6 linked regions of the Canis lupus familiaris genome follow. The protein of the gene in region 3 purifies or fractionates together with the protein of the main gene of each other region. This does not show direct contact. Links are inferred from orthologs where the notes say so. Each region holds a gene or a part of one and is shown on either strand. Other genes may lie near its edges.

What was found.
Region 1: the proteins of CHCHD4 (region 3) and GFER purify together in Homo sapiens (co-immunoprecipitation; 3 studies listed by BioGRID and IntAct, with this or other methods). This does not show direct contact. The link is inferred for Canis lupus familiaris from reciprocal best matches to the Homo sapiens genes CHCHD4 and GFER.
Region 2: the proteins of CHCHD4 (region 3) and TOR1AIP1 purify together in Homo sapiens (co-immunoprecipitation; 3 studies listed by BioGRID and IntAct, with this or other methods). This does not show direct contact. The link is inferred for Canis lupus familiaris from reciprocal best matches to the Homo sapiens genes CHCHD4 and TOR1AIP1.
Region 4: the proteins of CHCHD4 (region 3) and TIMM10 purify together in Homo sapiens (co-immunoprecipitation; 4 studies listed by BioGRID and IntAct, with this or other methods). This does not show direct contact. The link is inferred for Canis lupus familiaris from reciprocal best matches to the Homo sapiens genes CHCHD4 and TIMM10.
Region 5: the proteins of CHCHD4 (region 3) and SSNA1 purify together in Homo sapiens (co-immunoprecipitation; 3 studies listed by BioGRID and IntAct, with this or other methods). This does not show direct contact. The link is inferred for Canis lupus familiaris from reciprocal best matches to the Homo sapiens genes CHCHD4 and SSNA1.
Region 6: the proteins of CHCHD4 (region 3) and COA7 purify together in Homo sapiens (co-immunoprecipitation; 3 studies listed by BioGRID and IntAct, with this or other methods). This does not show direct contact. The link is inferred for Canis lupus familiaris from reciprocal best matches to the Homo sapiens genes CHCHD4 and COA7.

Annotation. Positions count from the first base shown.
Region 1 is NC_049227.1:39,393,445-39,397,648, reverse strand, and holds GFER (FAD-linked sulfhydryl oxidase ALR), read left to right. Parts: upstream 1-1,404; 5' UTR 1,405-1,419; coding exon 1,420-1,674; intron 1,675-1,825; coding exon 1,826-2,022; intron 2,023-2,919; coding exon 2,920-3,082; 3' UTR 3,083-3,734; downstream 3,735-4,204. Other genes in the region: NOXO1 (NADPH oxidase organizer 1), read right to left, coding at 175-217.
Region 2 is NC_049228.1:13,320,737-13,324,929, forward strand, and holds the start of TOR1AIP1 (torsin-1A-interacting protein 1), read left to right. Parts: upstream 1-1,393; 5' UTR 1,394-1,753; coding exon 1,754-2,234; exon of another isoform or gene 2,235-2,236; intron 2,237-3,965; coding exon 3,966-4,043; intron 4,044-4,193. UniProt on the Homo sapiens protein: Required for nuclear membrane integrity. Induces TOR1A and TOR1B ATPase activity and is required for their location on the nuclear membrane. Binds to A- and B-type lamins. Possible role in membrane attachment and assembly of the nuclear lamina.
Region 3 is NC_049241.1:4,306,388-4,310,555, reverse strand, and holds the start of CHCHD4 (mitochondrial intermembrane space import and assembly protein 40), read left to right. Parts: upstream 1-1,368; 5' UTR 1,369-1,542; coding exon 1,543-1,564; intron 1,565-4,168. Other genes in the region: TMEM43 (transmembrane protein 43), read right to left, coding at 983-994.
Region 4 is NC_049239.1:39,105,536-39,109,717, forward strand, and holds the start of TIMM10 (mitochondrial import inner membrane translocase subunit Tim10), read left to right. Parts: upstream 1-1,382; 5' UTR 1,383-1,883; intron 1,884-2,296; 5' UTR 2,297-2,338; coding exon 2,339-2,409; intron 2,410-4,182.
Region 5 is NC_049230.1:48,461,680-48,465,158, forward strand, and holds SSNA1 (Sjoegren syndrome nuclear autoantigen 1), read right to left. Parts: upstream 2,112-3,479; 5' UTR 2,004-2,111; coding exon 1,952-2,003; intron 1,566-1,951; coding exon 1,366-1,565; intron 1,033-1,365; coding exon 925-1,032; 3' UTR 501-924; downstream 1-500. Other genes in the region: ANAPC2 (anaphase-promoting complex subunit 2), read left to right, coding at 2,175-2,279, 2,479-3,101. UniProt on the Homo sapiens protein: Microtubule-binding protein which stabilizes dynamic microtubules by slowing growth and shrinkage at both plus and minus ends and serves as a sensor of microtubule damage, protecting microtubules from the microtubule-severing enzyme SPAST.
Region 6 is NC_049236.1:8,747,056-8,751,001, forward strand, and holds the start of COA7 (cytochrome c oxidase assembly factor 7), read left to right. Parts: upstream 1-1,146; 5' UTR 1,147-1,211; coding exon 1,212-1,317; intron 1,318-3,757; coding exon 3,758-3,898; intron 3,899-3,946. UniProt on the Homo sapiens protein: Required for assembly of mitochondrial respiratory chain complex I and complex IV.

The sequences.
Region 1 (4,204 bases), on a different chromosome or scaffold from region 3:
GATACCTGCCCTCCCCCTTCCCCGCCCGAGCTCCTCACTAGCTCCTATGAAATCTGCTCAATTCCCAGCTCCCATGGCAGCGACAAGGCCCTGCATGTGCTCCCGCCCACCTTTAGATCTCTCCTCCCACCACCTTCCCCAGGTCCTGTGCCACTGGCTTCTGCCCATGCCCACCTCCAGCCTTGGCCTTGACGGCCTTCCTCCACTGAGTCCTCATCTTTCAGGCCTCTGCCTAAGTGTCACTCCTCAAGGAGGCCTCCGGGATTAGCCACTCCCTGTTCGTGGTCCCCACCAGAGCTTGTCAGTGGACGTGTTACTGTGACTCCCTTGTTTCTTTTTTTTTTTCTTTTTTTAAGATTTTATTTTATTTATTCATTCATGAGACACACAGAGAGAGGCAGAGACACAGGCTGAGGGAGAACCAGGCTCCCTGCGGGGAGCCCGATGCGGGACTCAGTCCTGGGTCTCCAGGGTCACGCCCTGAGCCAAAGGCACGTGCTCAACCGCTGAGCCCCCCGGGCGCCCCGACTCTCACCGCTGACCACTGGACAGTGAGCCGGGGGTCAGGGACGGATCTCGGGCCCCGCCCTGCCCAGCGCCCGGGCCAGGACTTGGAACAGAGCAGACGCCGCACAGACAGGTGCAGGTGACGCACGAGCGCGCGGAGGCTGAGGCCGCTCCCGACGGGGACGTGGACAGCGCCCCCAGGCAGCCCCGGGAGCCCCAGGCCCGCGCCGCCGGCTGTGCAGGCCCCGCCCCGCCCCGCAGCCCCGGCGCCCGTTGCCATGGCGCCCGTTGCCCGGGCCGACCCGGGGGACCCAGGCCCCGGCGCGCCGCGCTCTGTGCGCTCACCGCGCCGCTCCGCGTTGCCGAGGCGCCCGTCTGCCGACCGCAGGGCGCGCCCCGCCGAGGGCACAGAGCCTGGCCGCGGGCACGCGGGGCGGTCGGAGCGGAGCGATGGGGGCGTCCCGGGCCGCAACACGGACTTCGCCCCGGCCGCAGCCGGAGTCCACGGCGCGGCCGCGGCGCGGCTTCCACAACACGCTACTCTTCTACTGGAGGAAGCGGGAGCGCCGCCACGGACGACGCAAGCCGGGCTCGGGACGGGGACCGAAGCCCGGGAGCCCGGCCAGGACCCGGGTCGCCAGCCCCGCGCCCGCGCCCACCCGCACCCCGGCCTCAGGCTCGGCCGCCTCTCCGGCGCGCTCCGCAAGCCCCGGACCCGGCCCCGCCCCCCCGCCGGCAGCCGGCCCCGCCCCCGGCCCCGCTCCCAGCTCCAGCCCGGCCTCCGCGCCTGCGCCTGCGCCCTTGCCCGGCTCCTGTGGCCGCGCCCTGGCGGCGGCGCGCGCGCTGGCCTGGAGGCCGACTTGGAGGCCCCTCTGGAGGCCCAGCTGGCCCGGCAGGCCTTGCGCGGGCAACATGGCGGCGCCCGGCGAGCGGAGCCGCTCCGGCGGCGGGAGCCTTTTCTCCTTCCTGCCCGGCGGCGCGCGCTCGGAGGTGATGGACGACCTGGTGACGGACGCGCGCGGCCGGGGCGCGGGGCGGAGAGATGCGTCCGCCGCAGCCTCGGCCCCCGCGCCGACCCCCGAGCCCCAGGTCGCCGAGGACCCTTCCCGGAGGCGGCCCTGCCGGGCCTGCGTGGACTTCAAGACGTGGATGCGGACGCAGCAGAAGGTCAGATGCCCCTGGGGAGCCCGGCCTGCAGCCTTTCAGCCGTTCGCGCGCGGGGTCGCGCCCGGGCGGGGCGGGGCGCGGCGGGGGAGCCGCGTGGGCGTCGGGCCCCGGACACGACCTGCCCTGACCCTTGGTCGGCCTCCGCCCGCAGCGGGACGGCAAGTTCAGGGAGGATTGTCCTGAGGATCGCGAGGAACTGGGCCGCCACAGCTGGGCTGTCCTGCACACCCTGGCCGCCTACTACCCCGATCTGCCCACCCCAGAACAGCAGCGAGACATGACCCAGTTCATACATTTATTTTCCAAGTTTTACCCGTGCGAGGAGTGTGCTGAAGACATCCGGAAGAGGTGAGTGTGTCTACCTTGCCTGTCGGCGGCGGAGCTGTCCCACCTGGAGCCTGGGGCCCCTGCTGATGTCATAAAGGGGCAGCGGTGGCCGCGGCTTGCCCAGAGCAGGGGCCAGCTAAGCCGTCTCCTTTCCCCTCAGAGGCCCAGCTGCCTGGGGCTGCTGCTGAGGGCTGCTGCTGGGCACTGCTGCTGTCGCAGCCAGAAGGCTCCTGGTGGGGCTTCACGTACAGAGGTCCCTGCTTGGAACTCCTAGGGGCACGGGCAGGTGGATGAGTCCACTTTGCCTGACTTCTATAGCAGGACTGCTGCATGTAAGGCTTGAGAACCCACTGCTTTTGCTCCCAGCAGCCACCTTTCCTTCACTGGGGAGCGCAAGAGCTGTTATTTGGCACCCACAGGTGTTTCTGGCCTGGATGCGGGGCCTGGGGCAGCCCTTGCCATTTGAACCTGGGCAGTTAGAACAGGTCTCTTGCTAGGCTGAGGCCCAAGGGCCCCAGGTGCTAGCAACAGGTCTGGTTTCCAGTTATGCCTTTGTGCTGGCGCCACCCCTTTCACACACTGCCCGGGGCCAGGGATGCTGGGGTGAGGCTTCCTGATTGTTACGAGGTTGTAAAGTTGCATGAGGTTGTAAAGTTGCATGACGAGTGCCTTAATGTCTTGGGTTTACTGAGCTCCATAGATAAGGGGTTGAGCAGGCCTAGGAGTGGGCCAGTGGTGGACAGAGCAGGATCAGGCCTGTTCCGGGCATGCCTACCTCTCAGAGCATGAGAGGGCTCATGGGTGTAGCTGGCAGCAATACCCAAGCTCTCCTCCCTGGATCCAGCAGGCAAGGAACTGATGGGGTAGGGGCAGTGGGGCCACTGCCTGTCCCCATCGTCACATGCTTCCCTCACACAGGATATGCAGGAACCAGCCGGACACGCGCACTCGGGCCTGCTTGACCCAGTGGCTGTGCCGCCTGCACAATGAAGTGAACCGCAAACTAGGCAAGCCGGACTTCGACTGCTCACAAGTGGACGAGCGCTGGCGCGATGGCTGGAAGGATGGCTCCTGTGACTAGATAGTGGCCGGCAGAGCTGTGGAACAGCAGTCCGGGCCTGCGGGCAGCCTGGCCAGAGGGGGATGGGGCACTCATTAAAGTGCATCAGAGCCAGAGCCTGTTGTGTCTCAGTTGGATCGTCCCCAGAGACTGCTCATGGGGCCCTTTCCTCTTAGGTTTGTAGTCAGAGCAGAGGTGCCTGCTGCAGACACCTCGACGGCCCTTCCTCAGCCAAGGCCCCGTGCGGCTGTAGGTGAACGAGAGGGAGCAGCCCAGGCTGTGCCTTACGTTTGGGATGTGGTGTCCTGCTCACCCCACACCCTGGTGCCCGCTTCCCTACACAGGAATGTGACAGGCCTGCTAGGGCTCCCTGTCCTGCTCCTTGAGGTAGACCATTGTCTCCCAGCCATGACCGTGTAGCAAGGGCCGGCTGCAGTGACTGTAACTCTACAGGCTGTGTGCTGTTTGCAGTTCAGAAAAGAGGTCTGGGGGTTGAGCTCTCCTCCCTGCTCAATGTCTACAAGGAAAGCACAGGCAGGCTGCTTCTCTGACAGTCCACCAACGCTGCTGCCCGCCTCCCATCCAGCACATACCTGTACCAGGCCTGTCAAGAGGCTTTGTGGAACCAATCTCAGAGCTTGAAACCAAAATAAAATAATGGAGGAGTGGCCAAGGGCGTGGCTTCGGTGTGTTTTGTGTCAAACTTGCCGTGGTGGACAGGGCTTGCCCTTGCTGCTCCAGGCAATGGCTTCCATTTGTCCCAAGTTCTGCTCCATAGGAGGAGGGCAAGGTCCCAAGTGCAGAGGCAACCTGGGAAGTCCCAGGAACAGCAAGGAAGCCGAGTGCTGGAGCTAAGGAGGGTCAGGGGTGAGTGGGAGGTCAGATGGTACATAGTCTTCAAGTGCCCCACAAGGACTTTGTTTTAATACCTACCTTCTGTGGCAGGAAAGTCGTGGAGGATTTGGAGTAATGGCAAGGAATGGCAAGATGACTTCCGGGAGGGACGCCTGGGGGGCTCAGTGGTTGAGCGCCTCCCTTTGGTCCAGGGCGTGATCCCAGGGTCCTGGGATCAAGTCCCGCATCGGGCTCCTTTCAGGGAGCCTGCTTCTCCCTCTGCCTGTGTCTCTGCCTCTCTCTGTGTGT
Region 2 (4,193 bases), on a different chromosome or scaffold from region 3:
CCTCTCTCTCTCTGTGTGGCTCTATGAATAAATAAAATCGGAAAAAAAAAAAAAAATCCAGTGTCACCAACACTGGATTTCTAGACCTAGGCACAACAGCTAAGTATATAAATTGATGCCAGCCATTTAATCTGATTTTTTTGTATAGGTCTTTCCCTAATAAAAGGCAAATTCCCTAAGAGTAAAGAATACATATTAACTTAATGTATACATCTATCGAACACCTATTCTGTGCCAACATAGGTATAGGTACTGGATTCTCTTACCTGTCTTGTGATCCACTTAATTCCTCTGTATTTTTCAAATTCCCAAACTAATTGTCTAACATCCAGAGCTCATGCCTCTTCCCGGTACTGATGACCTGCAAGCCTCTTACGCTATTGGCTACGAATCCACTGCCTCTAACGTCACGTCTTTGGGGCCACCCTTAGAGTTTAGAAAACATCTACAGCAGAAAATCTGGTTTGACAAGAGTTTAGCTTTACCTCAAAGTTAAAGTGATCAGGGCTGGTATTTGTAACGTTGCTAGGTGTGGGAGGCAGGAACGGCAGCGCTAGAATTATGCATTCTTATTACCTAAAGAGGGGGAAAACCCTAAGCAATATGTAGGTGTTAAAGTCATCGTGCCTCTGATTTCGAGATTCCTCATTTGTTTCTTGGGAAAGCCAAACCCGTAAGTTTCCTTCCTGAGCCTTTACAAGAATCCTGTGTAACGCAGTGAACGGACTATTCACAATAATACGAACATCATCTTCTCTGCTCAGCAACACGTAGTAGAACCGCTTGTCCTTTCTTTTTAAAGATGTCCCCAAAAACCGGAGTTCCGCAAGTTTGTAGCCCAGCTTCTACACACACACACACACACACACACACACACACACACAAAACTGCACCGGTTAATGTTTTAAAGAGATCCCTTAACATGCGCTAATAACGTTCATAACGTGCACTTTGCACATCGGCACTACAAAGGTTCACATCCTTTAATGATGACATTATGAGGCTTTTATGATGTTTAAGAGTGAGCCACAGTAACAGGCACCTTATAAAAGAAATCGTTAAAGAAAGGCCAGGCATCACTCAGTGTACCGATCGTCGCAGCAGTTTCTCCGAGAAGAATTAAATCCCACAATTTCTTTCCACCCCCCCCCCCCACCCGCCTCCCCCCAGGAAAAGGCAGCATTGGCAGAAGTTATCTTCATGAAGACTCCTATAGAAACACTTGGAAAGGCAGGGCTAAGGCAGCGGTCAAATCAGAACGACTCCGGGGCGGCGAGGACTCCAAGCTGGGCACCCGACTCTCGCTCGGCGGGCCTTCCCGGGGGGCTCGGGGGCGGCGGGCAGCACCCGCGCCTCCCGCGTGCGGGCAGCGGCGGCCGGAGCCGCTGGGGCCGGGGAGGCAATCCGCGCTGCCGGCTGTCCCCTCCCCCCAGGCCAAGGACAGCGACGTCGTCCTCCCGCTTCTCCTCCTCTTTGGTGCCTTCAGCCAGGAGGCGGGAGTGACCCGCAGCAGCTGACCCGGCATCGGCACTGCCTCTCCCACAGCCCTCAGGACAAGCCATGGGCCCAGAGGCGGCTTCGCAGCACGGCAGCGACGACGCAGGCGGCGGCCCCGGCGCCTCTCAACTGCCTCCCTGACCGCCGCAACCACACCCTCGCAACAGCCATCGCCACCAACGCCAGGAGAACCGACCGACGCGCCCCCCCGCTCCGCAAACCACCTTCGCGATCGCCTCAAGCTACGTCAACAACTATGGCGGGCGACGGGCGGCGGGCGGAGCCGGGGAGGGAAGGCTGGCGGATGTACGTCACACCCCGCGCCCCCCTACGGGAGGGAAGGCGCCGGCTCGCCCCTCAAAATGGCGGCGGCAGTGACGCGCCTGCGTACGGGACTCCTTCGCCGTCGCGCCACGGCCGGCGGGAAGTGAGGTTCTCGGAAGAGCCGCCAGAAGTGTACGGCGACTTCGAGCCCCCGGTGGCCAAGGAAAAGTCCCCGGGGAGAAGACGGCTCTCGCTAGAAGAGTTCCGGCCTGAGTCTGCGAAAGGGGAAGTGCGAGGAAGCGCCTACTACCTTCGGTCTCGGCAGCGGAGGCAGCCGCGACTCCAAGGAGCCGAGGAGATGAACACGCGAAGGGCGACCCGCCTGCAGGAGCAGCAGCAGCAGCAGCAGCAGCAGCAGTCACCGTCTCCGGTGACGACCAGGAGAGGGTTACGGGACTTTCATCCGTCTGACGGTGAGTGAGGCCGCCGGAGGGAGCAGTGTCCGCGGCGAGCCGGGGGGCGAGCGCAGCGCGCGGGCGGGGGCGGGGCGTGTGCGCGTGCGTCCCGGCGCAGCCCCTCGCAGCCCCTCGCCGCGCAGCTCATCCCGCCGGGGCTCCCGGGGCTCGCGGCGCGGGGGCCCCCCGACCGACCGACCGACCGCCCGACCGCCCGCAGGCGGGGCGGGGACGCAGGCGGGAGGGCTGCAGAGGCTCGGGGGCGCGACCTGAGCGGCGAGCTCCGCGCCTCGCCGGGCACCGGCCTGCGGGGGAGGAGGGGGCTCCGGCTCGCCTCTCTCTGCAGGCCTTGGCGGGGGGCAGGGGGGTGACGGCGGCTCGGGGGGCCAGCGGGCAGGGAGACACTCCAGGCTCGCTTTCACTTCGGTTCCCTCCGTTCTGCGGATGTTGCTACCAAAGCCACTTCCATTTCCTCTAACTCTCAGAGGCCACGAGTCCCCAGCTGAGAGTGATGCTTCTCGGGTAGCCTCCCAGGCTTTTCTCCATCGCTACCGAGGTCGGGGGAGGAGGAGGGAGAAATTGGGTGAGTGGGCGTTTGGAGGGAGCGCGCCGTTTTTTAAATGGACTTGAGACCCCACCCGAATACTTCTACCGAGGTGGGGGTAAGGCGAGTTATCCTGAACTTGAAGATCCCTAATGCCTGATAAACTTGAGCTGATCGCTCTTTCTCAAGCAGGGTGGTCTCTGCAAAAAATCGCCACGTGTTTGTTTTTTTTTTTTTTTTTTGCGGGGGGGGGGGGGCGGGCTTCGATGCAACCTCATGGGTTACTTAGCTTGACCAAGGAAGATTCTGAGTTAGTTTTCCTCTAAATGGGCCGAAAGGATGTTGGCAAAGTGAGCGTGTGGATTAGGTGAGGCACAGGTGAAGCAACTCCCTTGAGCCATCCTCTCCCGCCCACTTCCCTGTCCCCTATCTGAATCACGGGTGTAGTTTCGTGGGAGGCCCACGTAAGGCACCAATGAGGTAAAAATCCAGGGGGTTTGAATCACAAAGTGATTGCATCCTTAGTGGTAGACCATGGATAGATAGGAAGAAGGAAGTGGACCTTCAGCTCGCAGCAGAGCTGTAGGCAACGCTCGTATCTGCTGACCCATGCAGCACTGACACATCTGAAGATGCCTTGATTTTGAAAACTTTATTTTAAAGAAAATGTTAACTTAATATGGGGTGGAGCTTACTCCAGACATTTTAGCCTATGTGTATGTTCTATCTCTCTTTTAGAATTAGAAACTTACTGAGGACAAGGATCCCATCCTATTTGAAGTTAATTCCATCTCCTTCAGTATCTGAAGAGCGCTTTGCCGACGATAGGCAACAAATAGGTTACATTGTATTGACTCTGGCACAGATCCTCCTGCAGTTATAGAAGCTGACTTTTTTAATACATAAAGGATTTACTTCTGTTTTAATAAATCTATAAGGATCTTAAACATTTTGCACACTTCTGCTTTCTTCGACGTTTCTGAAACTCTGGACCATCTTTTAAATTTCTAAATTAATATGGTTTTATTATAAAGCATCAAAGGTGAATAGTTTATATTTTTAAGAGTAGTAGTTTTGGTGGACCTAATTACACATTTCTAAAGAATTACTTGCCTTTCTGTTTATATATTGCTGTTAGGGTGCATAATCTGGACCCAAATGTCAATCTGTTTTGAATTTTGACATATGTAATGTCTGTTCTTTAGAGGATGAACCATCTACACAAACTATTTTAAGCCAAGCAGTCCCGAAGAAAACTATCCAGAGAATACAAGAAACTCCAGGTAAGAAAAGCGATTGTTTTTTGCCTTATCTGCCAGCTTTTTTTTTTTTTTTTTTAAGATCTTAATTTATTTATTCATGAGAGATACAGAGAGAGAGGCAGAGACACAGGCAGAGGGAGAGGCAGGCTCCTGGTGGGGAGCCTGATGCGG
Region 3 (4,168 bases):
AATCTGTAAAATATTGTATGAGGGCAGACAGGGGTCTACCTCTGGGGGCAGGCTGGTCTCCTGACTGTCCTCTCCCCTGGCAGCCCCTGGGTCTTGGGCCACCCCTGAGGCTTTCCTAGGCGCAGCATTCACGACTTCTAGGTCTCCCAGACAACTCTGGCTGAGGTGGAGCGTCCTAGGGCTGTGGGTGATACAAACCCTGCCTCTCCAGGGGCGTGGAGGGCAGGGAGGACCCTCGGGGACATTAGAGAGGCTGGAAAGAGGGTGTAACAGGCCAGGGGACAGTGGCTAGGCCACTCCAGCAAAGCAGGAGGGAGGGAGTGTCCTGGGGCTGGCAGGGCACCAGGGCTGGCTCCAGAAGCACTTGCACAGAGGAGGGGAGTGGTGAGTCACCAGCCTTCCCACACCCAGCACCCTGGTGGGAGGCGCTGCTCGGTTTGTTGAATGAATGCTGGGCGTACATCGCGAAGTCCCCGAGGCAGGCTGGCTGCGGGGAGACACGGCAGGAGGCCTCTGCAGGGAACCACCTTCGGCCAGGGCCCCTCCAGCCAAACACACCGAGGGCACAAGGGCCGGGCCGCGGGTCCGCCTGCTCCCGGTCCTCCGCGCACTCCCGCCCGCACCCTCCCGCGGCATCCCACCGCCGCCCGCACACCGCAGTCCGTCCGTCCGCAGATGGGGCCCGCCCGGGCGGTCCCGGCTTCCCTGGCTCCTCGGAGGTCGCGCCGGCCCCCGCAGCCCCTGCAGGAGGAGCGCAAGGGCCCAGGCGGGAACCCAGAGCGACGCAGGGGCTGCGGGAGGGGCCCTGGCACAGACCCCGACGCGCACCCACCGCGTCTCCTGAGACCCCCGCCCCGCAAACGCGCGGCCCGGACGGCCGGACAAGGCCCCGCAGAGGGCGCCAGGCCGCCAAGCCGGACCCCGGCGGCCGCTACGAGGAGCGGGGAAGCCTGCGGGGTCCGGCGGACCGGGAGACACTCACGTTCGCGGCCATCCTGCGACCCGGCCGGGCGCTCGCCCTCGCTCTGCTCGGCTACGGGAGGGGCTGGCCGCCTGCGGGCAGAGCCCGGCGGCCTCCCGCCTGCTCCGGAGCTGCGAGAATTCGCGTGAACCCCAGAATCAGGGAGGACGCGCAGCAGTCACCGGCCCGCGAGCCACCGCCCTCCCGCTCCAGCGCGCCGCAAGGCCTCCTGGAATATGTAGTTCCGGGGCAGGCGCCGTAGCCACCACGCTGCAACGCGCCGCGGACCTCACTGATGCGCCTGCGCACCGCAAGTCATGAAGGGATATGTAGTTCCTACTGCCTCAGCGCCCCGAGCCGCGCGCGGATCCCTGGGGAATGTAGTTCCCGGCTGAGAGGGGCCGGGCTGGGGCTGGGAGGGCGCGGAGGCAGGCGCGCGGCGGGCAGGCCTGGAGGGGGCGGGTCCGCGTGGGCCTCGGCGCCGCCCGCCCTGCCTAAGAAGAGGTCACCGCGTGAGCCCGCTGCCGCCTGTGCCGCCACCACCGCTACCGCCGCCAGGTCTGAGCCCCGGGGCTGCAGCCATGGCCTACTGCCGGCAGGAAGGTAGGGAGGTCGGGCTGCCATGGAGACCGGCCTACGAGGGCCTGCAGGGGACATGCGGGGCTGCCCCCCCGCGGCCGTGCAGGCCCCGGCGTCCCGCGACCCCATTGCGGGCGCGGGCGGCTGCAGGCGCGGCCCGGGGCCCCCTCTTCGGGACCCTTGGGAGGGCCTGGCGGTGGGGCCGCCACCTCCGCCTTGCAAATGAGAGGACGGAGACCGGGAGGAATGAGGCTGGTCCAAGGTCACTCTGAGCCTCGAACCCGGACCTCCGTAGGATCGGCACGTGGGAGCCTTGTAAACTGGGGGGGGCACGGGAAGTGCTCAGCCCGCTTTCTCTGGCTTGTAATTGGGGATTTATTGTTTTTACTACCGCTTTTGACCACACGTCGCGCGTTTTCCTCCGCACGCGCTGTACAGGAGTGCTCAACGTGCCACCCACGGGTGCATCTACCGAGCGCCTACTACGCCTGAGGCACCGGACCCCGTCGGCCCTGGAGCTGGGGTTCGAGCTGCCGCAGTCCTGATCACCGCCCAGTCTGGTGCCCCTTGGATTCCAGGAGCTCTCAGCTGGAACAGCACCACCTCCACCTCCACCACCTCCACCTCCACCACCTCCACCTCCACCTCCACCACCTCCACCTCCACCACCTCCACCTCCACCTCCTCCTCCTCCTCCTCCACCTCCTCCACTACCACCTCCACCACCTCCTCCACCTCCTCCTCCACCACCACCTCCACCACCTCCACCATCTCCACCACCACCTCCACCTCTACCACCTCCACCTCCACCTCCAGCAAACATTCCCACCACCTCTATCACCTCCACCACCACCTCCACTTCTCCAGCAAAGTGCCCATCTCCTCCCACCTCTCTCCGGTTTCCTTCATCTGTTCCTACCTCTGCTGAAGAACCCAGGAGTCCCAGGGCCTCCCCACACACTGCCACTAACTAGCTTTCTGTCCCTGAGCTGCCATCTAACCAGGCCCCAGTTTCCAGTCTTGTAAGATGAGAAGTTGGTCTTCATTCATTTAGCAGATCACTCACGGGCATCTTGGCTGTGCCTGTTGATAGGAATGGTGGACACATGAGAAAGTAAAGCTACACAGAGAGTTGGAACTCACCCAGAAATTCTTTGGTGAATAGTCAGTCTGGTTCCCTTAGTTTGTTTCAGGGATCTGAAGACCAGAGGAGATGACCTACCCAAGGTCTTTCATACATCCTGTTAGAACAGCTCAGTCTAAAATGTCAAGCTTTTTCCCCAGTACCTCATTCTGCTTTTGGACCCACTCCTTTCTGGGGTCATAAAGCCATAATACTATATTTTTCTAATACTCACTGATGTCTCTCCTGAGTACTATTTTTAGTGATAAATAGTGGTGCCATGAACAAAAGTTCTCTGCCCTCACCACTTTGTTAGTAGACCTCTTTTTTTAAAATTTTCTTTCTCTGGGTTTCTTTTCTTTTTTCTTTCTTTCTTTTTTTTTTTCCTCTGGGTTTCTGATTTACTTCATTTAGCAAATAATTTTGAGCTTTTTAGATATAATGAGGCTATGCAGATGAGTAAGACCTCTCCTTGCCTGTAAGGATATCTAGGAGTCAGGTTTTTTTGGGAAGGAAAGGTAGTTTCCATCTGCCACCAAAGCATGGATCTTTATCTTTTTCTGGGTCAAAGATCTGTCTCTAATTTGGGGATGAGAATTGAAAGCCCCTACCTTATATGGCTCCAGCCTGACTGGTTGGTTGATTGATTGATTTCTTTTAAGATTTTATTTATTTATTTGAGAGGGGGAGAGAGCACAAGCAGGGGGAACGGCAGATGGAGAGGGAGCGGCAGATTCCCCACTAAGCAGGAAGCCCAATGCATGGGCTCCATCCCAGGACCCCGAGATCATGACGTGAGCCAAGGCAGAACCTTAACCACCTGAACCACCCAGGTGCCTCTCCAGCCTGATTTCTAACTACCCCATCATTGCTGAGCCACACTTGCATCTTGGTTGTACTTTGCCTGATACCTCTGTCCTTCAGCTATTCCCACGGCTGGCTCTTCATTCTGAGTTCTGAATCAGTCACTTGCCTGTGCAAATTTACTTCAAGGGTCCCCACCCCCCACCCTCCAGCTTTCGGGTTAAAAGCTTTGGCTTCCAAGGTGTTCCATAGTGTGGACTCTTCCTTTCTCCCTGGCCTGAGACCACCCACACTTTTCAGTATCAGTGCTACACCAGTCCTTCTTTTTGTTTCCTCTTCTCTATTGCTGTCTGCTTTCTCCAGTTCCTCAGCAAACATTTATTGAGCCCCGGTGATGTGCCAGCCTCTGAGCAGGTGCTGGTGAGCACAGATGACATGATCTGCTTCTTAGCATTGGGGAAGAGATGGGCACTCTTTCCGGGTTGGATCTGCTGAAGATTTTGACATGTAAAGATTCCGTGTATTCCGTTCCCCTTTCTGGGAGCAATGAGACCACCCATCCAAGGTTGTTTTGCTGTAATCTACTGAATGGTAGTAATGATTCTGTCTTCCTGTTCTTTGCTGAGGTCTTCAGTTTGGTTTCTCCGTTCTACATTTATTTGTTCAACACATTTTGATTACCCACCATGTTCTGGGCACTG
Region 4 (4,182 bases), on a different chromosome or scaffold from region 3:
CATTTTCCTGTATAGATGTCATACCTTAATTTTATTGAAAAAAAATTTTTTTTAAGTAACCTCTACACCCAAGGTGGGGCTCAAATTCAGGAGGATGGCTGGGTGGGGGGTGGGGGGAGGTTTGGAATCAAGAGTTGAATACTCTACTGACTGAGCCAGCTAGGGGCCCCTGTTATACCTTAAATTTTTTTTAAAGTGTGTGTCTATGAATTGAGAAATATTTATTTTATTTATTTTTAGTTTTTAACTTTTTTATTTTTAAAGATTTTATTTATTTATTCATGAGAGACACAGAGAGAGGGGGGCAGAAAGAGGAAAGGCAGGGTCCATGCAAGGAGCCTGATGCGGGACTCCATCCCGGAATCTGGGATCAGGCCCTGAGCCAAAGGCAGATGCTCAACCACTGGGCCACCCAGGCGCCCCTATTTTATTATTTTTTTAATATTTTATTTATTTATTCATGAGAGACACACAGAGAGAAAGGCTCCATGCAGGGAGCCCTATGTGGGACTCCATCCGAGGTCTCCAGGATCACACCCTGGGCTGAAGGCGCCGCTAAACCGCTGAGCCACTGGGGCAGACCTATACCTTACTTTTTTTTTCTATACCTTAATTTTAAAAAAGATTTTATCTATTTGAGAGAGAACGCACGCGCTCAAATGTGCACGTGGGGAGAGGCAGAGGAGGGAGAGGGCGAGAATCTCAAGCCCATTCTGCACTGAGCTGGGGGCCAGGGCAGGGCTCTGTCTCATGACCCTGAACCGACCGAGCCACCCAGGCACCTCTAGCTTAATTTTCAAGGATTGGGGCACCGGGTTTGCGAAAGAGGAGTCCTTGGAGGAGACATGAGGGCTGAATTTAGGATCCTGACTTTCTTGGGCAGTGAGGGAAGCATACAGTGACCAGCCATACAGCGTCCGGCCCACCTCCTCCAATGGGCAGCGGACGCTTTGCATCTTGTACACTTTGTTTACTGGGAAATCCCTTGAGAAACAAAAGGATTGGGGGCGGGTTTCTGTGGTGTAGGGGTTCAGATGGAGCAACGCACGCACGGGGTCTGGAGAGAGCAGCTCACAGCCCCTTCCTCCTCCTCGCTCTGATGCACTAGGTTAGCCCCGGCGGCAGCCAACGTTGCTCTTGTTCATCTCTCTGGGCCGGGGCGTCTGGAAGTTGCGCGGACCCGGCTCGTCCTCCTGCGAGCCCGGAGACAGCTTAGCACCTGCGGGCCGCTGCGCTCCCTCCGTCCGGGGAGCTCTGGCTCGCAACCTCGGCTGCACCAAGAAACCGCCCGAGGTCAACTGAAACATTTACTGAAGTCTGCGTCCTGCTCCCAGAGGTTCTGATTTGCTTGGTATGAAGCGAGGCATGGGCATCGGGGCACTGGGAGCGGCCCGGGCGACCGTAACGAGCAGCACAGACACTACGGCCTTGGAGGGCGTCCTTCCTTCTCCGCGCCGCGCCGGGGTCTGTGACCCGCCGTCGAGCCTCGGGGGCTGCGGCCAAGCTTCGCGGAGCCCCGCCCTCCGGCGCCCGCCTACAGACAGTCGCACTGTGACCTCTCCGCCGAAACCCTGGGGACGGCACCGCCAGGCTGCAGGCGCTCTGCACTGCGCCCAAGCCTCTATGGTATTTTGGCGTCCCCTCTAGCCCTTGCAAGTCGCCTTCGGGCACGGCCGGCGGCTCCTCTCTATGGTAGCCGATTTCCCCGCGCCGCCTCGTAGGGGCTTCACTCCGGAAGCGAGTCCGATCAAAGGGGAGGCGGGACTTCCCTCCCGGAAGTGACCCACGTGCTTCCGCCTTAGCCTACCTGGGCGTGCGGCGGCTGTCTAGCGTTTGCGCGAAGTTGAGGACACCGCGGGCACAGTGACTGGCCCCAGGCCGTGGTAAGTGACCGCTCGCTTCAAGGTGACCCCGATGCACCTCGCCGCCACGTCAGAGGTGCAGCCCCTGGGCCGGGACCCGTGGACCTTTAGCACCGCGTGTGATCGAATTCCCAGGGCCCTGGAGGTTCAGGCCCCGCGGTTCAGTGTTCCTTTCCGGTCCCGAGATCTTTTCCTGGGTAGAGTGGCCACGAGGGGCTGGGGCGCCAGGGCTCGATTTCCAGCCCCTCCATTGACGTGCTGTGTTCCCCTTCCGGGCCTCAGTTTCCATATCTGTGAGATGGGATAGTTGAGCCCACTGAGGTCAGTGACCCCTGCCCGCCCGGTGTCCTATGATTGTTCCGCATCCTCTACGTCCCCCTGGGATGGGAAACGGAACGGGAGGGCTCGAAGCTGACGGTGATGTCCGCTCCCAGGACTAGGAGGCCAGGAGATCTTTCCCACGGCGCAGCGCTGAGATGGATCCGCTCAGGGCCCAGCAGCTGGCTGCCGAGCTGGAGGTGGAGATGATGGCCGATATGTACAACAGGTGAGAGCCGACAGCGCGCTCCTTGTCTTTGACAGTGATCCTAGGTCACCCTTCCTCAGGGCACCTGTCGGAGGGTGCGCACCCCCACCTACGCTCCTCGTGGCTGAGGGCCAATGCAGACGCGGTACGGGTCGCTAGAAGGAGTTGGACATCTAGGTTGGAATGCACTTGGCAAGCGAGAGAAGCCCCAGTCCAAGCTCTGGTTGGCTTTCAGGAACGGTTGAGCGTTTGCCTTTGTGGCAAACAGCACGCAGCCCGCTTGGTGGTTTACATTTCTTAAACTCTTACTCCACCTCGGGCACATGCTGAGCATTCTACGCGCCTTCATCTTTTGTGATCTTCAAAATGATCCACCGGGTCGGTCTTAGTTGTCCCATTCTAAGGTGAAGACATGGAGGCTTCTAGAGGTTAAATAACATTCACAGGGCTCACAGTTGGTCAGTAGCAATGTCAGGACCAGGACCTCGGTCTGACTCCAAACGAGTGCCCACAACCATTTGGCAGATGCGGGAACAAATCATAACTGCGCCAATCACCACTAGTGTGGCCGTGGGCAAGTCACTTGGACTGCTTAGTGGTTTTCCTGTCTATAAAATGGAGGTGGGGCACATGATGGTGCAGTTGGTTGAGCATCTGACTCTTGATTTCATTGCAGGTCGTGATCTCAGGGTCATGGGATTGAGCCTCACATTGGGCTCTGCACTCAGCAGGGAGCCTGCTTGACATTCTCCCTCTCCCTCTCCCCTGTTTGCCCACACACATGCCCGCGCAAGTGCTCGCTCTCTCTTTCTCAAATACATAATACTAGTTCTTTTTAAATAAATGAATAAATATTGCTTCTAATCCTTTTGGCTAAGATCAAGTGTAAAAAAATAAATAAATAAAATGGAGATAATAATGGTGCCTACCTCAAGGAGACATTATAGATGTTAAATGTAGAAATGTGTGACAAGGGGTGCCTGGGTGGCTTAGTCGGTTAAGTGTCTGCCTTCAGCTCAGGTTATGGTCCTGGGATCGAGCCCCACGTCCAGCTCCCTGCTCAGTGGGATGTCTGCTTCTCCATTTCCCTCTGCCCCTCTCGTTGCTTGTGCTCACTCTCTCTCTCTTAAATAAATAAATAAAATCTTTTTTTTTTAAAGATGTATTTATTTATTCATGAGAGACACAGAGAAAGAGACAGAGACACAGGCAGAGGGAGAAGCAGGCTCCTCGCAGGGAGCGTGATGACTCAATTTCAGATCCCCGGATCACAACCTGAGCCAAAGGCAGATGCCCAACCACTGAGCCACCCAGGCGTCCCATAGATAAATAAATTCTTAAAAAAAAGAAATGTATATAACAAGCTCTTATTGGGTTTGTATCATGCCCAGTACAAAGTAAGCAGTCCACATGTTTTCTGGTTTTATTGGCTTCAGCTCCATGGTATTTTCTCTTGATGGCTTATCTTGAAGGCTGTATATTAGAATACTTCCAAATATTTAAATAATTTAAAAATGCAGGCCATGAGGTCCTGTGGGTTCATATCCCAGCTTTACAGGATCCTGAGGCTCTCCATGCCTGCATTTCCTTATCTGTAAAATGGGGATAAAGATTGTGCCTGCCTCACAGGGTCATTGTAAGGACTGCATAACCAGCCATGTCAAGCACTTAGCATGATGCCTGGAACATACCCAGTAGTCAACTAATGGCTCCTGTTTAAATAAACTTGGGCTCAGATCAGGTGAGCACTCTCAAGGACCTTCTCAGTTAAGATGCGAACTGAGGATTTACACT
Region 5 (3,479 bases), on a different chromosome or scaffold from region 3:
TCCTGGAGTTCCAGGATTGAGTCCCACATCGGGCTCCCTGCACTGAGCCTGCTTCTTCCTCTACCTATGTCTCTTCTTTTCTGTCTCTCATGAATAAATAAAATCTTAAAAAAAAGAAAGAAAGAAAGAAAGAAAGAACCTTGAAGCTGGGGCACAGGCCTGTCTGGAGGATGGGTGAAAAAGAGGGCATCCTTCTGGGCCAGACCTCGTGCTGGGTAATAGGGAACAGCACGGACTGGGAGCTATGGGCAGAATACCTCCAGGGCAGTAGGTTAAGTGCAGTTGGGGACCAGAGGCCAGCAGCCCTGGTGGGGAGAAAGGGTGGGGGACAAGGTCTCGGGAGATGCTCAAGGATACCTTCAACTCTTTTCAAAAGCACAGGGAAAGCCAGTCCAGGCTTCCCTCATCCAAGGATGAACCATACCCAGCTGGGCAGGGGCTCATATTCATTCATTCCGGAGGTGTCCAGCAGTTCTGCACTCCAGGCACAGGCCACAGGGCATCTTTACAAACCTAAGCTTTATTGACAGTCACATGCCACCAGGACAAGCTCTGAGGTGCAGGGCCCCTGCCCTTTGCCCACTTCCCTGGCTGGGGCAGCAAGGTGAGGCCACTCTCATGGTGTGGAGACAAGGGAGCAGGGCCTTTCTGGCAGCACCGGGATGGGGGGTGGTGGCGACCTCAGGCCCTGAACAGAACTGACCCAGAGCCTGCACTCCCCAAGTCCTGCATGAGTACAAGGCCGGGACGTGCCCAGAGGTTTCCTTGTCACCTGGGGCAGGTGGAGCTTGGCAACAGCCTCTTGGTACCTGAGACACTGAAAGGGGGCAGCTGGTGCCAAAAAGAGTAAAGACGCTGAGGATAGTCGGAGGCCCAGCCACTGCCGGGCACAGTAGAGGCAGGCCCCTCCCCAGAACGGCCCCATCAGCTGTCCTTAGCTCCGCTGCTCTTCTGCTCTGAGGCTGTGGCCTTGGTCAAGTTCCCAGCTTCCCTCTTCAGGACACTAAGCAGAGTCTGCGAGCTCTCCAGGATCTGGAAACAGACGTAGGATGGTCACCACCACTCCTCGCCAGCACTGAGCTGTGGGGCAGCAGTGCAATGAAGCCCCTGAAGGGCAGGTCAGACAGGGTCAGCAGGGCCCGTTCCCCCTAAGACTAGCCCAAAGCCCCTTCCTCGCACCCCAGGGAAGCCAGTCTAGGTTAGCTGAGCCCGGGGCCGCTCTTTGCTCATGGTCTGGGAGGACAATGGTGCAGAAAACAGGACTCCTGACCTGCCAGGCCCCCGACAGCCTCACTGACACCTAACCGGGATCCTGTCGCCCCTGCGTTTGGCCGGCCCTAGACTCCCCCGGGGCCCCAGCCCCACCTTGAGGTAGGCGGCTTCTGTCTCCGCGATGGTCCGGTCAAACTCGTTTCTAGAGGCAATCTTGCGGGCCAGGTTCTCGTTGACGCGAGCCAGTTTCTCGGTCAGCTGCCTCACTTCATTCTGCAGCCGCTGCTTCTCGTCTTCCTCCTGCTGGATCTGCCGGCACAACTCCTCCCGCTTCTGGCACAACTCCTCGATGCCTGGGATGGGCGAGCGGGAGGGCACACGCTGTGGACCCAGGGCAGGAGGGAGCACAGCACCCCTCCCACTCTGGAGCGTGCCCGGTGCACTGGACGGTGCGCACCCCTCGCACCCTGGACCGTGCGGGGGGCGGGAGGCGGTGCACGCTCTCCCCTTCCGCTCTGTCCCTCACTGCGCAGATACCCGGCGCCCGGGCGAGCGGCACAGCGGCTGTCCCCCTGGCTCGCCCGCAAGGCCCCCGGCGCCGTCCCGGCCGAGGCCCCACGCACGGACGGTGCAGCCCGTTGGGCCACGCGCGGCAGGCCCGCCACCGCCTGGACCCGCAGGCCGGCGAGCCCCGCGCCCTCCCAGCCCACCAGGCGGACCCCGCCGCGAGGCCGCTCACACTTGACCAGTTCGTTGTTATAATTCTGCAGCGCTGCGCCCTGCTGGGTCATGGTGACCGCCCAGGCCGCGACCACCCCAACCGCCGCTACTGCATCGCCGCTCCCGCCTGCGCGGTGCGTCCGACGGCGCGCCCTCCGAAACGTCACCGCTGCGCGCCGCTCGTGTGCGTCATCGCCGCGCGCCGCACCCGGAGCTCGGGGGACCTGGAGGGGGCCGCGCAGATGGCGGCGGCGGGGCGCGACGGCGACCCCGGGCCCGCACAGGAGCTGTTGCTGGCCTGGAACACCGTGAGCACCGGGCTAGTGCCGCCGGCCGCGCTCGGACTGGTGAGGCCCCGGGAGAGGGCAGCGGGCCCGCGCGGGGTCCCTGGGACGTCCGCCGGGTGGGCGTTGTGCTCCCGGACAGCTCCTACCTGGCGTCGGCCGCAGCCTCCCCTCCGCTGCGTCCCTTCCCCACTGCTCCCCGTCCGTCCCCGCGCTTTCCGCGTCCCTCCGCGTTCCCTTCTCACGGTTTTCTGCACCGCAGGCGTCCTCCCGCACCAGCGGTGCGGTGCCGCCGAAGGAGGAGGAGCTCCGGGCGGCGGTGGAGGTGTTGAGGGGCCACGGCTTGCACTCGGTGCTGGAGGAGTGGTTTGTGGAGGTGCTGCAGAACGACCTGCAGGCCCACATCTCGCTCGAGTTCTGGAATACCATCTCCCAGCGTGAGAACTGTGCGGACGAGCCCCAGTGCCTTCTGCTGCTCCTTGACGCCTTCGGCCTGCTGGAGAGTCGCCTGGACCCCTACCTGCGTAGCCTGGAGCTGCTGGAGAAGTGGACTCGCCTGGGCTTGCTGATGGGCGCAGGCGCTCAGGGGCTTCGGGAGAAAGTCCATACCACCTTGCGGGGCGTCCTGTTCTTTTCCACTCCCAGAATGTTTCAGGAGATGATTCAGCGCCTCTACGGGCGGTTTTTGAGAGTCTACATGCAGAGTAAGAGGAAGGGGGAAGGGGGCACAGACCCGGAACTAGAGGGGGAGTTGGACAGCAGGTACGCCCGCCGGCGGTACTACAGACTTCTGCAGAGCCCCCTGTGTGCGGGGTGTGGCAGTGACAAACAGCAATGCTGGTGCCGCCAGGCCCTGGAGCAGTTTCACCAGCTCAGCCAGGTCCTGTGAGTACTTGTGGCTGTGGCCATTTCCCTGTTCTTCTTGACTCTAGATTACTTTCCTGGGTCCAGCGGCCTCTTCAGAAAGCTGGTGAGCTGGCTCTGGGGAGGGGGGCATCTCTGCCCTGACAGTCCTGGACATTACAAAGGGACAGTCCCCAGGGTCCCTGTGCTGTGAATTTATACTCTTTGTCCTGGATAAAAAGAACAAGTATCTCTGCCACTCACGCTAATCTCAGGTTTCACACTGCGTGCACACCAAGACCCTATGTGATTCCAGATTTCCGGTCACATACAAGTCTGCTGTGTCTTCTGTAGGCTCTCCAGGGAAGGGAAGATAGTTATCCTCTCCTATAATTGCAAAAAAAAAAAAAAGAGAGATTT
Region 6 (3,946 bases), on a different chromosome or scaffold from region 3:
TCCATCCACGTCTAAGCAAATGGTGGGTATTTGTCGTTTCTAATGGCTGAGTAATATTCCATTGTATACATAAACCACATCTTCTTTATCCATTCATCTTTCGATGGACACCGAGGCTCCTTCCACAGTTTGGCTATTGTGGTCATTGCTGCTATAAACATTGGGGTGCAGGGGGACATGAATTCTTATTAAGATCTGTCTATCCTCGGGGATCCCTGGGTGGCTCAGTGGTTTAGCACCCGCCTTTGGCCCAGGGCGCGATCCTGGAGTCCCGGGATCGAGTCCTGCGTCGGGGTCCCTGCATGGAGTCTGCTTCTGCCTCTGCCTGGGTCTCTGCCTCTCTCTCTCTCTGTCTCACATGAATGAATAAATAAATAATCTTTTTTAAAAGGAAGATAATAAGAATCCCTACTCAGTAGTGTCACAATGAGGGTCATAGTGAGAATTGAATTGGACTTTGTATCTTAGAATAGAATCTGGAACAAAGTTCAACACGGTTTAAGCGTTTGCTATTGTAACAGAATCATTACAACCTCTGCAGCTGCCGTGCTGCGGTCATCATCTCCCCACAGCCATTCCTTTCTTAGGTCGTTCAGGTTGGGGACGGGAGGATGGGGGGGTAGACCTGAGAGGAACGCACAGATGAACCAGACTTCTCATTTCATTGCACTAGAACAGACTTACAAATATTGGTTTCTGCAACCACACCTGGCCCAGAGTAGTTGCTCAGAATGCTTGCTGAATGAATAAACAAATGTCTTCCTACCAAACCGCAAGCTCTTTAAAGGCAGGTACTACTTCCTGGCTGTTGTGTTACTGGGACCAGGGACGGTGAGGCACCCAGCAGGCACAGAGATCATCCAACAAAGGAATGAATGAAGAAATAAATGACTGCAGACAGAAAATCATTAAGGGCGCAAAGGTGGCGCAGAAGTAGTCCTGCAGGAAGGCTGTCGCCGGTTTGAGGGAAGGAGGGAGAGTAGCAAGAGAGGCGGCGGCCGAAGGTCTTCCACGTTAGGTCTGCCGCGCTCCCGCTTCGGGATTGGCTGAGCCGCCCGCGCACTCGGCGGCACGCCCCGCCCCCGCCCCGGCCCCGCCCCCGCCCCGCCCCGGCCCCGCCCCCGCCCCGGCCCCGCCCCGCCCCGCTGCTCACGTGACCGCGCGGCGGGCGTGCGGAGCGGCGGGCTGAGCTCGGCCGGCGCGCAGGGGCCATGGCGGGCGTGGTGGACTTCCAGGACGAGGAGCAGGTGAAGTCCTTCCTGGAGAACATGGAGGTGGAGTGCAACTACCAGTGCTACCGCGAGAAGGACCCCGACGGTGAGTGCCGCCGGCGCGGGCTGCGGACACGTGGGGAGGGACTTGCGTGTGTCGGTGGCTGGGACGCCCATAGAGGCCGCCCAGAGCGGCCAGTACCTTTAGCTGGTTTTCTCCTTCCTACTTCATTTTTATACGGGGAAAACATGGCACTGGCCTTCCCTTCTGATAGCCTGCAGCCTGTTTTCTAGATTAGGATGTAGCTATTTCTTGATGCTGACAGACTGACCAGGGTTGTTGTGCAGTGCGATGGCTGAGCCAGGGTGGCTCGGTCCTGGGAAGAGTGGGAGTCCCTAGGAGCAGGACAGCGGGGAAGGACTTGTGGGCGAGGGCGGGGAGCGGGGGCCGGGGGCGCAGACGAGGTCGGCTGAGTGGAGGCCAGGGCGGGAGAGGAGATGGCTGCCTTCCAGGTGCTGCCGAAGGCTGCCGTTAGAAAGAAGGTTGAAGAGGGAACCCGGGCTGCAGTGTATCAGGTAAGGCACTTAGATTTCATTGTGTAGGCAGTGGAGAGCCTTAGGTGTTTTTTTTTTTTTTTTAAGATTTTATTTATTTATTCATGAGACCCAGAGAGAGAGAGAGAGGCAGAGACACAGGCAGAGGGAGAAGCAGGCTCCACGCAGGGAGCCCGACGTGGGACTCGATCCCGGGTCTCCAGGGTCAGCCCTGGGCTGCAGGCGGCGCTAACCCGCTGAGCCACGTGGTGCCGCCCGCAGGAGAGTGCGCTGAGTAGGGCCGCGGGGAGGAGGGCTGCAGCGCGTTCGGGAGGCTGCAGTTCCTGTAGCTGCTATCCTTTGAAGCCTTCCTGACGCTCCCCAGAATTACTGAGATAGCTGCCTAACCCGACTGTTTGCATGCTCACTCCCTAAAAATCTGTTCTCTACCCTCAAACTGATAGTTACATTTTCATCTGTCCTATTAAATGCTATCTTATTCGATGTTTAAATGACAAGACAGCCCGTTTGTTGTTGTCAGTGCAGAGTGTACCCCCTCCAGCATTTTGTTCCATTTTCATCCTGACATATACAAACATACGCTGGAATGACCTTTTAAAATGCAAATTGAATCATATCACTGCTCTTCTTAAAACCCTCCAGTGGTTTGCCTTTGACCTGCAATAAAATCCTAAGTCCTTCCTGTGTTCCACAATGCCCTGGTCCCTGCCTTTCTCTCCTCATTTCCTTTTTTTTTTTTTTTTTTAATATTTTATTTATTTATACCTGAGAGACAGAGAGAGAGGCACAGGCAGAGGAAGAAAGAAAGGCAGAGGAAGAAGCAGGCTCCACGCAGGGAGCCCAATGCGGGACTCGATCCTAGAACCCCAGGATCACACCCTGAACTGAAGGCAGAAGCTCAACCACGGAGCCACCCCAGCGTCCCTCTCTCATTTCCTACCCGTTTCCATCTCCATCCACATTATTCCGTATTTGTACTAAGTTTATTCCCTCTTTGAGGCCTTTTAATTTATTGTTTCTTGTGCCTGAGACTTTCTGCCCCCTTCCATTTCATTATCTTTAAATAGCTAGTTCATTCTTGTTATTCACATTTAAACTTACACATGGTCCTTAGGCCCTCCTTGATTGCCCAGTTTATGGTAATTATTCCCCCAGCGTGCACAACAAACTATCTTATCCTGTTTATTTCAATCATATAACGTTTATTACTGTTGAAATGCGTCTTAAAAAAATAAATCTATCTTGCTCACCTATTTACTTATTTCTTCCCCCTCCTGTAGAATGTAATTTTTAGGAAAGCAAGTGACTATTCCTAGCATCTACAACAGTGTAAGGTACGCAGTTGCACATAGATGCTCAAACATTTGTTGAATGAAAGTGAATGAGATGAGTATTATTTGAGATGAAGAAGAAGGAACAGAGACAGAGGGGAGAGATATTGGGAGGAGGCTCACTGGGACTAGAGACTGCCAAAGAGAGTCTGTTTCTAACTCTTTTAGTAGCTTCTATTCCTAGTCTGTCTTTGGACTTCTCATTCTCAGCCTGGCTGAGGAGTATAGCACCCCTTTCTTGCTACAACAGGGACTAGCCCATAGACCATTTTGGTTTCCAGTGTTTTATTGCTGAACTTCCTGGGAAGCCCCAACCAAAGGCAGCAAAGTTTCAATCATGGAAGTCTGAGTCTTTGGCCTTGGGTGACAGGGAACAGAAGGGCTCCACCACAGTGGCTGGTGAGTGGCAGAGCCAATAGAGCAGCCGTGGTCACTCCAGCTTGTATGTGGTTCAGTCCCTGGCTGAGGGCAGATGACACCATTTGTAGGAATAGCTGGACACCACTTGCATTCTTTGTGGTGAGATCACCTTGCCACACCTCAGGAGAACAGAGGCTGGTCCTAAATGAAAGACACACTCTGGCCTGCCACACCTCAGCCCTCCCCACTGCTGTGCAGCAGCACCAGACATGAAGAGCAGCTCTTGCTTTTTCCTCACAGGATGCTATCGCCTGGTGGACTATTTGGAAGGGATCCAGAAGAATTTTGAGGAGGCTGCCAAGGTGCTGAAGTTCAACTGTGAAGAGAACAAACACAGCGATAGCTGCTACAAACTGGGGGCCTATTATGTGACGGGGAAAGGTAAGGAGGCGCCTGCTTTCTTTGGTCATTATCATGGATAGTAATGCT